Arabidopsis thaliana: one gene and its partner. The protein of the gene in region 2 purifies or fractionates together with the protein of the main gene of each other region. This does not show direct contact. Each region holds a gene or a part of one and is shown on either strand. Other genes may lie near its edges.

Region 1 (4,884 bases), on a different chromosome or scaffold from region 2:
CGCAAATCTGAGGTTCGAATGGCAAAATAAAAAACCAATGTCATTTCCTTAATGTATTAAGGTCATTTAAATAAAATTGTACACTTTTTTCACCTGTAAGCGTTCCAAAGTGTAGAATGGATAACTAGAAGGGTCAAAGGTATAATATTAATAAGCGAACTCACTTTTTGCCCAAGTGATTTCACTTCTTACATTTGCTTGATATAGTTACCCAAAAGTGTATATATATTCCCTTATACAATTGTTCTATTTTCTGGATTATAAGGGGAATAAGAAAAAAGAAAAGAGAGAGTATATAATAATACTTTTATAAAGTGATGTTAGATTCTAATTTGTAACGAAAAGTTCAAAGTGAAAGAAAAAACGAAAAAGTTTTTCTGTTTTGTTTTATATCTATAGCCAAGAAAGTTTCTCAGATTTACAAGAAGTTAACTGAGAAAAACAAAAAAAAAACTTATGAAGCATGAAAGACTAATTAACGAGGTGATTAATTTTGAGACAAATTAAACATCGAATTAAAAGTAACATTTGGAGGGTTTATATGTTATATATGTGACATGATAAGTCCGATTCATGACTAATGTATATCTGGAATCTAACATGGAAGAATAGAGAACGAAGCAGAGCCAAGGTCAACTTGCCAGACACGAATCAACAGATTGTGAATGAGACCAAATCAATGGTCATAAACCGGTTGGGTTTAAACCGGCAAGTCATCCTTGGCTCAATTCCATTCGTTATTCCTTCATGCAAGACCCTCTGATACAACCAAAGACTCCCATTACAATATTCTTTCGATCACGAGCTACTTATTTTCAAATGTGTTACCTCTTTCGTGACTCTTGTGTTGTGTGGTAAAGCCTAGTCGAGATGTGTCGGTATATATAGGCATACATATACAAATGCGACAAAATAAGTATATTATATTGTTTAATTTCTATATTCCATTTCTATATGCATGGCTGGGATTTTTGACCAAAACCCTAATTCAAGAATAGAATCCAAAAGATGGGATCAAAGAATATAATCTAATGGGCTGACCACATTTTCCGATTTAATTCGCATAGTTAATATTCTTTCCACTACTTTATGCCGCAGAAATTTGTAATTAAGTAAGACAAAGAAATACAGATATAAGATGGTCGTAGAAACCAGTAGAGGAATTTCATTTTTCGTGGATAAGTGGAATATTAATAAGAGAATGGTCTTTACTCTTTACAGTGGGAAATGGGAATAGTAGCCCATTATAATTTCATCAGATTCTATATATGCATGTTTGTATAAGCTAAAATAAATACGTTTAAGCATTCTTCAAAAAAATTTACAAGTTCTAGAGACTCTCTTAACGTCGGCAATTTATATTCTACTTTACATGACACTTTCAGGAAAAGAAAACTATACTCACTAGCAGATCATTAAATTTTCTTTTTCTTTTTTTGAATGAACCTTAGTTGTGGTTTTTATTTTTGTTAGCTAGAAACTTCAGTGTTTTTTTTCCGCCAATGGTAGTGCTTTGATGATGGTCCGGCCCAATTCATAGAAGGCCTTGAAAATGGGCCAGACCAATTCAGAGACCCAACAAGCTCGACTGTATACACAAAATTCACAAAAACAGCTTTTGAGAAGTTTTCTTCTTCTTCACCTTATTTTCGGGTATCAAAGCCACAAAACCCTGAGAATGGCGGCAGCTACTCAATTTCTCTCCCAACCTTCGTCTCTCAATCCACACCAACTGAAGAACCAAACCTCACAACGCTCCAGAAGCATCCCTGTCTTGTCTCTTAAATCCACATTGAAGCCACTTAAACGCCTCTCCGTGAAAGCCGCCGTCGTTTCTCAAAACTCGTCCAAAACCGTGACGAAGTTCGATCACTGTTTCAAGAAATCATCAGATGGGTTTCTCTATTGTGAAGGAACTAAAGTTGAGGATATCATGGAGTCAGTGGAGAGAAGACCCTTTTACTTATATAGCAAACCTCAGATCACTAGAAACCTCGAGGCTTATAAAGAAGCATTGGAAGGAGTGAGCTCTGTGATTGGTTACGCTATCAAAGCTAATAACAATCTTAAAATTTTGGAGCATTTGAGAAGTTTAGGCTGTGGTGCTGTGCTCGTTAGTGGAAATGAGCTTAGACTTGCTCTTCGTGCTGGTTTCGATCCCACAAAGTAACATTCTTTATTTACCCATTATTGCCCTGTATCTGATTTAGAGAGCTTTAACTTCATCCCTATAACAAAGTGTTTGACTTGTTGATGGAATCAGTATTGATATGAATGGTATGATTTGGTGTAAAATGAATAGGTGCATTTTCAATGGAAATGGCAAGTCTTTGGAAGATTTAGTTCTAGCTGCTCAAGAAGGTGTTTTCGTTAATGTCGATAGTGAGTTTGACTTGAATAACATTGTGGAAGCTTCAAGAATTTCTGGTAAGCAGGTCAATGTACTGCTGCGTATCAATCCTGATGTTGATCCTCAGGTATGGTTAAAATTTACTTTAAACTTTAGCATCATGTCTAACATAATTGGTCTTGGATATTAGTTAGTGAGCTTTTCTGTTTTATACATTTTTCAGGTGCATCCATATGTTGCTACTGGGAACAAGAACTCAAAGTTTGGTATCAGGAACGAGAAGCTTCAATGGTTTCTGGATCAGGTCAAGGCACATCCCAAAGAGCTGAAGCTTGTTGGAGCTCATTGCCATCTAGGCTCTACCATTACTAAGGTAACACTCTGATTATAGTTGCTTAAAGTTGTATTTTGATGTAATCAGATGAATATGGATTGCTCTCTGTTTAGTGTTTGCTTTTGGTCCGTCCTTAGATCTCAACTCTTGAGCTCTACGTATTTGCGTATGTTCTGTTTATTCCAGGTGGATATATTCAGAGATGCGGCAGTTCTCATGATAGAATACATTGACGAGATCCGGCGTCAAGGTTTTGAAGTTAGTTACTTGAACATTGGTGGTGGTTTAGGGATTGATTATTACCATGCCGGCGCTGTCCTTCCCACACCCATGGATCTCATCAACACTGTAAGAACAACATCTCTTTCGTTCATTTGATCTCAAAAGTAGTGGGATGGTAGAATTGTTACAATCCTTGATGTGTTCCAGGTAAGAGAGCTTGTTCTTTCACGAGACCTGAATCTAATAATCGAGCCAGGGAGATCTCTGATTGCAAACACTTGCTGTTTCGTCAACCATGTAACTGGTGTGAAGACGAATGGAACTAAGAACTTCATAGTCATTGATGGAAGTATGGCTGAGCTTATCCGTCCCAGTCTTTATGATGCTTATCAGGTAAAAACAAATATACTTCTCACAACAGCATCTGCAGATTTTGGTCCCCTTTGAGCTATAGCTAAACATTCTCTTGTTCATGTTTTTAACTCAAAAGCACATTGAGTTGGTCTCTCCTCCACCGGCTGAAGCAGAGGTTACCAAATTCGACGTAGTGGGTCCTGTCTGTGAATCTGCTGATTTCCTGGGCAAAGACAGAGAGCTTCCCACTCCTCCACAGGTATGATAAGGATATGATTCTGTTTGGAAGCTCAGGTAATGTGGAATCTTATGAGTTTATTGTATTCATTACAGGGAGCTGGTCTGGTGGTTCATGACGCTGGTGCATACTGTATGAGCATGGCTTCCACTTACAATCTCAAGATGCGTCCTCCGGAATACTGGGTACCAACACATTTTCTTGTTCCAGGAGAATCAAGATCCCGAGAGAAATTGTCATGAATTTGAACTTATTTTCTTCAATGTGTTGTTTGTTTTTGCAGGTTGAAGAAGATGGGTCGATCACTAAGATAAGGCATGCTGAGACATTCGATGACCATTTGCGTTTCTTTGAAGGTCTATGAACTCTTAGATTTACTCATCATTGTTGCTTTTTTGATTGAATTGTATGATTATTCGGAATCAGGACCATAATGATATTGCTGTTTTAGATTTTCACATTATGTGCTTTGATTCAAAGTCAATGAAGTGATCATATGAATAAGAAAACGTTCACAAGTCAAGACAGAAAATAAGAGGTGATTCTGATTATAAGAGGAGTCTTTCAAGCCAAAGTCGTCCATTGTCCAAACACATAAACACTCATCTAAGCTTCTTCCCATAGCTATAAGAAGATTCTTTCAAGCTTTTTGTTCACAAGTTTGCTTGCAGAACTAAATGAATCAATAACTACAACTACTATGTCATTAATCAAGAAACTAAAAGAAGATAGTTCATAGTTCACAGGACAAGTAAAGTGAATTTGGTTTATCATGTAGTGACTTACCGCCACAAGTCTAATTTCATCATGGGTTATAAGGAAGATTCCAAAATAAACCTTTTAATGTGTAAATGAGACGGTGGCTGGAAACTTGAAGTAGCAAAATGGTCCCATGCGACGCCGTATTGGCGCGGCCACCTCTCTCCGCCATATAATAGAGGTGGTCCTTTAAGTTTTATTTTCTTTCTGTGGTTTCTATGTTACCGTACGTATCAATTTTTAAAAGCAGCTATACATGGTACGACGTCTAACAACTATGTTACCTGAATTGTCCCATCGGGCCATTTAATATGTGGATGGTTGCATTTTTCTTCTTCTAAGTGACTAGTTTGTACTTGGTAAAGTGTTTACGCTAACATCCATTTGTAAGTTTGATTCAACAAATTAACTTCAACAGTGAAATGAACATGTCTAATTTGGAAAAGTTTGATTTCAAACTGAATATGTTAAAAATTTCTCAGCATAAATAAGATTAATATCCAAATGTTAATTAATTATTTTATTTTCAATTGGATGATCATAAAACTTGCAAAATAATTAATCAGAAAAAGAAGAAGCAAATTTTTTAATTATACTTGAACAATGAAAACCTAAATCCCTGCAATT
Region 2 (5,575 bases):
TCTTGGAGGCAATTCTTCCAATTTGTTCCAACATCACAAAACAAAACACAAACTGTTCCAATTTGTTTTCTCACAAAATGAGAAGTTGACCTCGCCTTAATCGAAGATATATGCTGAGATATAAACGTTTACTTCAAGCAAGTGCAACCAGTCATGAGACCCAACTCTATAAAACCAGTCAGCTTCGGGATCGTTTTCCTTGAAAATCCTGATGAACTAGGCAGTGATATACCTATCTACAGGTCGGCTTCTTTAGAAAGCTGACTCTTGGGGCGATCTGGGAAATTGAGCCTGAGTTCGGCTGGTCGGTTTATGTATAAGAAATTAAAGTTGAAAATTGAACCAAGATAAACCTACGTTATGGATTATAGGAACCAACCATTGTCTTCACTTCATCTTTTTCAACATACTGTATGTTTTTGATTTGAGTCCGACCCGAATTAGTCAAGTTTCAGTTTTAATGGGCTTCATCAACAAGTTTACATATGGACTTAGGCCCATTTTCAAACCAAAAAGTACAATACAACAAAAGCTTCTCCTTGTTAACTGAAACAAAAACAATGAATCCTTTTTTTTTTGGTCAAACACTGAATCCAACAAGTGAAAACAAACAAAAAAGGAGGGAAAAAAAATCAATTTTATTTTTGTGTGGCTGTTTTAAGAATTCCCAAACAAATGGGGAAGTCAATAAAATTGCTTAAGACACTCCATGAGAACATCAGTATGTTCAGGCTTTCCAGCAGAAACTCGAACATAACCTTTAAGCTCTTGACTGTTGTAATGACGAACCATCACACCCATTTTCGCCAAATCCTCTTTCAGCTTCTTTGCATCCATTCCAGATGTAACCTCACAGAGAATGAAATTCGAATAGCTCGGATATGGATTCAAGAAAGGAACTTCTTTTAATAGCCCGAACAGTCTCTCTCTTTCCCGTACCAAGGCGTCTCTCACATCTTCCAAGTATTTCCCGTTTGAGAGTGCTGCTAAAGCAGCTACTTCCCCTGCAACAGAGACATTGTACGGTTGCTTTGCTCTCCACAGGTATTCGATTATACTCAACGGAAACGCTCCATATCCAACTCGAAGCCCGGCTAAACCTGAAATATCATCAGAATTCTTAGATGCAGACTTTATATCTGTAATGTTTAGATTATATAGAGTGATAAACCAAAATTTACCAGCTCGTTTGCTAAATGTGCGGAGAACGATAAGGTTTTCATACTTCTTCACCCATTTCATGCGTGATTCAACTCCTGAGAATTCGATGTAAGCTTCATCTAGAACAACAAGTATTGGCATTTCTAGAATCTTCAACAGATCGTCCTCGCTGATGATACTGTATCAAAGAGAAACTCGGATTAATAATCATGACGGACTACTAAAAAGAATTTTTCCTTTCGAGTTGTTTAGAGTGGTGGTGTTTTACCTCCCATCTGGATTGTTGGGAGAAGTTAGGAATATGCATTTGGGTTTTTCTAGTTCTACAACTTCAGCGATGCGGTCTACATTCAAGCTGAAATCGGGGTTTCTTGGAACTGTGAAACAAACAAAGACCAACATGTTTAAGACTATACATTCAGAGAGAGAGAGAGAAGCAAAATCGAAGAGAATGAAACACATGAAAATCGTAAATCTTTCACCTTTAATGACACCTGCTCCATTCACAGCCGCATCAAACACATACATTGAGAAAGTTGGAGGACAATCTATAATCTTCTCCCCAGGATCTAACACGCATCTGCAAGAAACAGAGTTTTAGTCAGAAAATACGATTCTGGTAGAAGCTCAATTGACTGAAAAATCAAATCTTGAAGCCATACCTCATGATCAAATCAATAAGTTCGTCAGCACCACAGCCTACAAGTATGTATTCAGACTCCAAACCAGAGTCTTGAGCCAGTGCATCACGAAGTCTACGACTTTGTGGATCAGGATAAACGTAAGGGAATTTCATATTGCCTAATGCTTCAAAAACCTACACAGAGCTTCTGAAACCTGAAGTTAGAGAGGACAACTAACTAACTAACAAAATTATCCTTTTTCCAGTCATCAACATATCTATGAATGAGTGAAAGAAAGATATAGACTTGCCTCTGGAGGAGGACCATATGGGTTCTCATTAGCATCTAACTTGACAATATCCTCAGGCTTTCTTCCTAATTGAGCAGACAATACCTAATTACAAACAAACATACACATTTTAGAAGATAAATCCAATCCAACCCAATCCAATCATCTATAATTGTCAAAAAATAAATTCAATGCAATCTAAATATCACCTCAAAGGGTAAAATTGGCTGATAAGCAGCCAATTGTCTCAAATGTGGACGGATAAAAGAGTCTCCCATAGTTATATTCTTGGATTCGTCTACAGCTGCACTTGAAGACTGAGCACAATAAACCCTATTCCGGATTGAGCAAAAGGGTTTCTTCAAAGCTCGAGACTTTCGAAGATTTGACTCTGAAGAATGAATAGAGAACGATGGAGAGCCCTGAACATTGATCACACCCATCAGTTTTCGTGTCTGCGCATATCAAAGGTGGAATCAGTTCAATCTAGAGGAAACATCTGATGCACATACTCAATTTCACATCTTATTGACAAGTAATACCTGAAAGTTGACAGGAAGAGGGGCAAATGGAGATAACCCTAAGTAGACGAGAAGGGTCGTGAGCAGGGAGACTAAAGTGACTGAGATCAGTCAAAAGCTTCGGTTTTTCTATGACTCACTTGCGATTCGTGGACAAAGGTGAGCCTTTTTTTTATTCTGAGTGACTGAGAATTGGCGTACCAATTTAGGGGTTATCCGAAATTGAATCCAAAACCCGGTTCTGAAGAATCGGGTCGATAGTGAGAGTAGGTAAGAAAGTCTTCCAAGTGTAGTGTTAAATAAAAAAGTCTACTCTTGACGAGGTGAAGACGTGAGAGTAGGTCAGATCGATTTCCCGGCGATCTAAAAGGAACCAGGAGCCGATCTGCACATCGGTGACGAGGTGAAGACGTGAAGCCTATGGGAATGTGATACAGGATTCACGTGGTGAGCTGGTGATCTGGCGAGCTGGCAATGTGAAGTCAGGGATGTTAAGCAAAGTACGTGTTGTGAGCTGGCGAGCTGGCAATACAAATGGACGTTAACGGCGATCGTTATTAACGTGGTTAACGTTTACTTTCTTTACCTTTTTGTATAAGAGCAACATGTTATGCTCATGCTTTCATTATCGAATAATCTGTAATCTTCAGAATTCTCTAGAACCTTGTAAGTGCTAGATTTCTCTCACATCGAGAGCTAGCTGAATCATTTGGTGTTTTATGAACATCGATTGATTGTTTGGTTTTGAATGATAATTAGAGATTTGGATTGTTCTTATGAATAGCAGGTTTTCCTGTAACAGAATGTTGGTGGAATCGTCCTGGAAACGACGATGGACGTAAAAATCGGTCACAAAGGTGGCTGATCTGATAGCCGCAGACATGCATCTTTGGGCTACAGCCAGGACGTGCTTGTCGCAGAAAAACAGTAATAACTCTTGTTAAACGTAATCAATTGAGGCAAGGATGAATCCGTTAGAAAGATAAGCCTTGTAGCTTCAAAATGATGTGCAGATCGGCTCCTGGTTCCTTTTAGATCGCCGGGAAATCGATCTGAAAGCAGACAGATCGGGTGTAGACGGATCTGTGTCTCGATAAACAACGCATGCTCGAGAGAAAAACCTATAACTCTCGGAAGACAGCACCAAATGGAGCAAAATCGATCTTGTTGGAAAGATAAGCCTCAGAGCTTCATGATGATATTAAGATGGGCTCTTGATGTTTTCTGAATCGTTGGGAGTTTGCTTTCTAATCCAGTTGCTCCCACAGTTCGAATCTGCGATTTGACAGGTGTCATATGTTTCATTGAAAGTGATAACGCTTAGTAAACAGCTCGGAATTGGATGAGGTCGGTCTCTATTGAAAGAAGCCTCGGGGCTCAGTTGATACTTAGATCGCCTCGTGATGCCCTTTAGATCGCCGGGAATTTGATTCCGAGGTCAACAGATCGGATATAGATCGATCTGTATTTTGTCACTGTCTTCTGCAGATAAACGGCAGTATCTCCGAGAAAACAGACCCTAACGAAGTGAGCTCGGGCTTGTTAAAAAGAGGAGCCTCAGGGCTTTAAATTGATCTGTAGATCGTCTCCTGAGTCTCTCTAGATCACTGGGAAATTGAGCCCGAGTTCGGCTGGTCGGATAGAGACGAATCTGCGCTTGAAAGAAACGCCAATATCGCTTGGAAGATTGCTTCGATTGGATCTAGGTTAGATTCGTTGGAAAGATAAAGCTCAGGGCTTCAAATCGACACGTAGATTGACTCCTATCTCTCTTTAACTCGCCGGGAAACTCTCTTCCAAGTCAACCGTTTTGACAACTGAATCTCTGACCTAGAGGCTTATCAGTAGAAAATCAGCGATATTCATCGAAAGAATTCACCTATAGAGATGAGATAGGTCTCTATAAAACTCGAAGCTTTCCGTTGTCGCGTAGATTGTATCTTGTTTCTTTCCAGGTCGCTTGGAGTTTGATTCGTAAGTTGGCTGTTCCGACAGCTGCGGATTTGTCAGGGAAATTGTGTCAAGTGCAAAGAAGCCGACCTGTAGATAGGTATATCACTGCCTAGTTCATCAGGATTTTCAAGGAAAACGATCCCGAAGCTGACTGGTTTTATAGAGTTGGGTCTCATGACTGGTTGCACTTGCTTGAGGTAAACGTTTATATCTCAGCATATATCTTCGATTAAGGCGAGGTCAACTTCTCCGAAAAGACGACTCTCTGGGCGATCCGTAGATGTATTAACCCTTACGAGATTCCCTGTGATTTGTCGGGAAATCGGCCCCGTGGTGAGCTGGATTATTCAGACGGATTCGTAGTTCTAAAGATCGCATCTTCTGGATAGAAGCAGGGATAACATTCGATAGACAGCTCTGATGGAAGTGAGGTCAGCTTCTAGGGACACCTGACTCGCTGGAAAATCCATAGATGTGCTACTAGTTTCGAGAATCGTTGAGACTTGTGGGGGAATTGATCCCTAAGATGACTAGTCTTCTTAAGAAAGGATTCTATGTCAAACGAGATTGCATCTGCAGAAACATGGAGATAATTCTCGGATGAGATATCGGATCGAAGGGTAGTTAGATTCCCTGGAAAGCTAACAACCGGGGCAATCCGTGAACATATTAAACAAATGGGGAAGTCAATAAATTTATTTTACATTATAACTGGTTTAAGGCATTTAGCTATTATATTATATTTATGGAGTGGAGGTAAGAAGACAACATTTTTCTAAGTATTCTAGTTTGTTTTTTTTATTTATTAAAGCAGTAAGTGCTTAACCTGCACTATGCATGAGCAAAAGTCTAAAAATGATATAAAAATATTTTGTAATAGATTTGAGATGTTTTGTTTCTCACTTTGAATGAAAAAAAAAAAACTTTTACTAAAAAAATTGTTGTCGGTTTATGTATAAGAAATTAAAGTTGAAAATTGAACCAAGATAAACCTACGTTATGGATTATAGGAACCAACCATTGTCTTC

Evidence for each region. Proteins that work in one complex are often made in the same cells at the same time.
Region 1: the proteins of HPA1 (region 2) and AT3G14390 fractionate together in Arabidopsis thaliana (co-fractionation; one large-scale study listed by BioGRID). This does not show direct contact.

What each region holds. Positions count from the first base shown.
Region 1 is NC_003074.8:4,805,093-4,809,976, forward strand, and holds AT3G14390 (Pyridoxal-dependent decarboxylase family protein), read left to right. Parts: upstream 1-1,577; 5' UTR 1,578-1,678; coding exon 1,679-2,166; intron 2,167-2,302; coding exon 2,303-2,477; intron 2,478-2,573; coding exon 2,574-2,723; intron 2,724-2,870; coding exon 2,871-3,032; intron 3,033-3,113; coding exon 3,114-3,299; intron 3,300-3,396; coding exon 3,397-3,519; intron 3,520-3,593; coding exon 3,594-3,683; intron 3,684-3,781; coding exon 3,782-3,862; 3' UTR 3,863-4,341; downstream 4,342-4,884. UniProt on the Arabidopsis thaliana protein: Specifically catalyzes the decarboxylation of meso-diaminopimelate (meso-DAP) to L-lysine.
Region 2 is NC_003076.8:3,247,343-3,252,917, forward strand, and holds HPA1 (histidinol phosphate aminotransferase 1), read right to left. Parts: upstream 3,623-5,575; 5' UTR 2,616-3,622; exon of another isoform or gene 2,529-2,615; 5' UTR 2,517-2,528; coding exon 2,283-2,516; exon of another isoform or gene 2,179-2,282; coding exon 2,095-2,178; exon of another isoform or gene 1,979-2,094; coding exon 1,824-1,978; intron 1,742-1,823; coding exon 1,644-1,741; intron 1,539-1,643; coding exon 1,430-1,538; intron 1,340-1,429; coding exon 1,182-1,339; intron 1,101-1,181; coding exon 685-1,100; 3' UTR 512-684; downstream 1-511. Other genes in the region: AT5G10336 (uncharacterized protein), read right to left, coding at 4,601-4,723.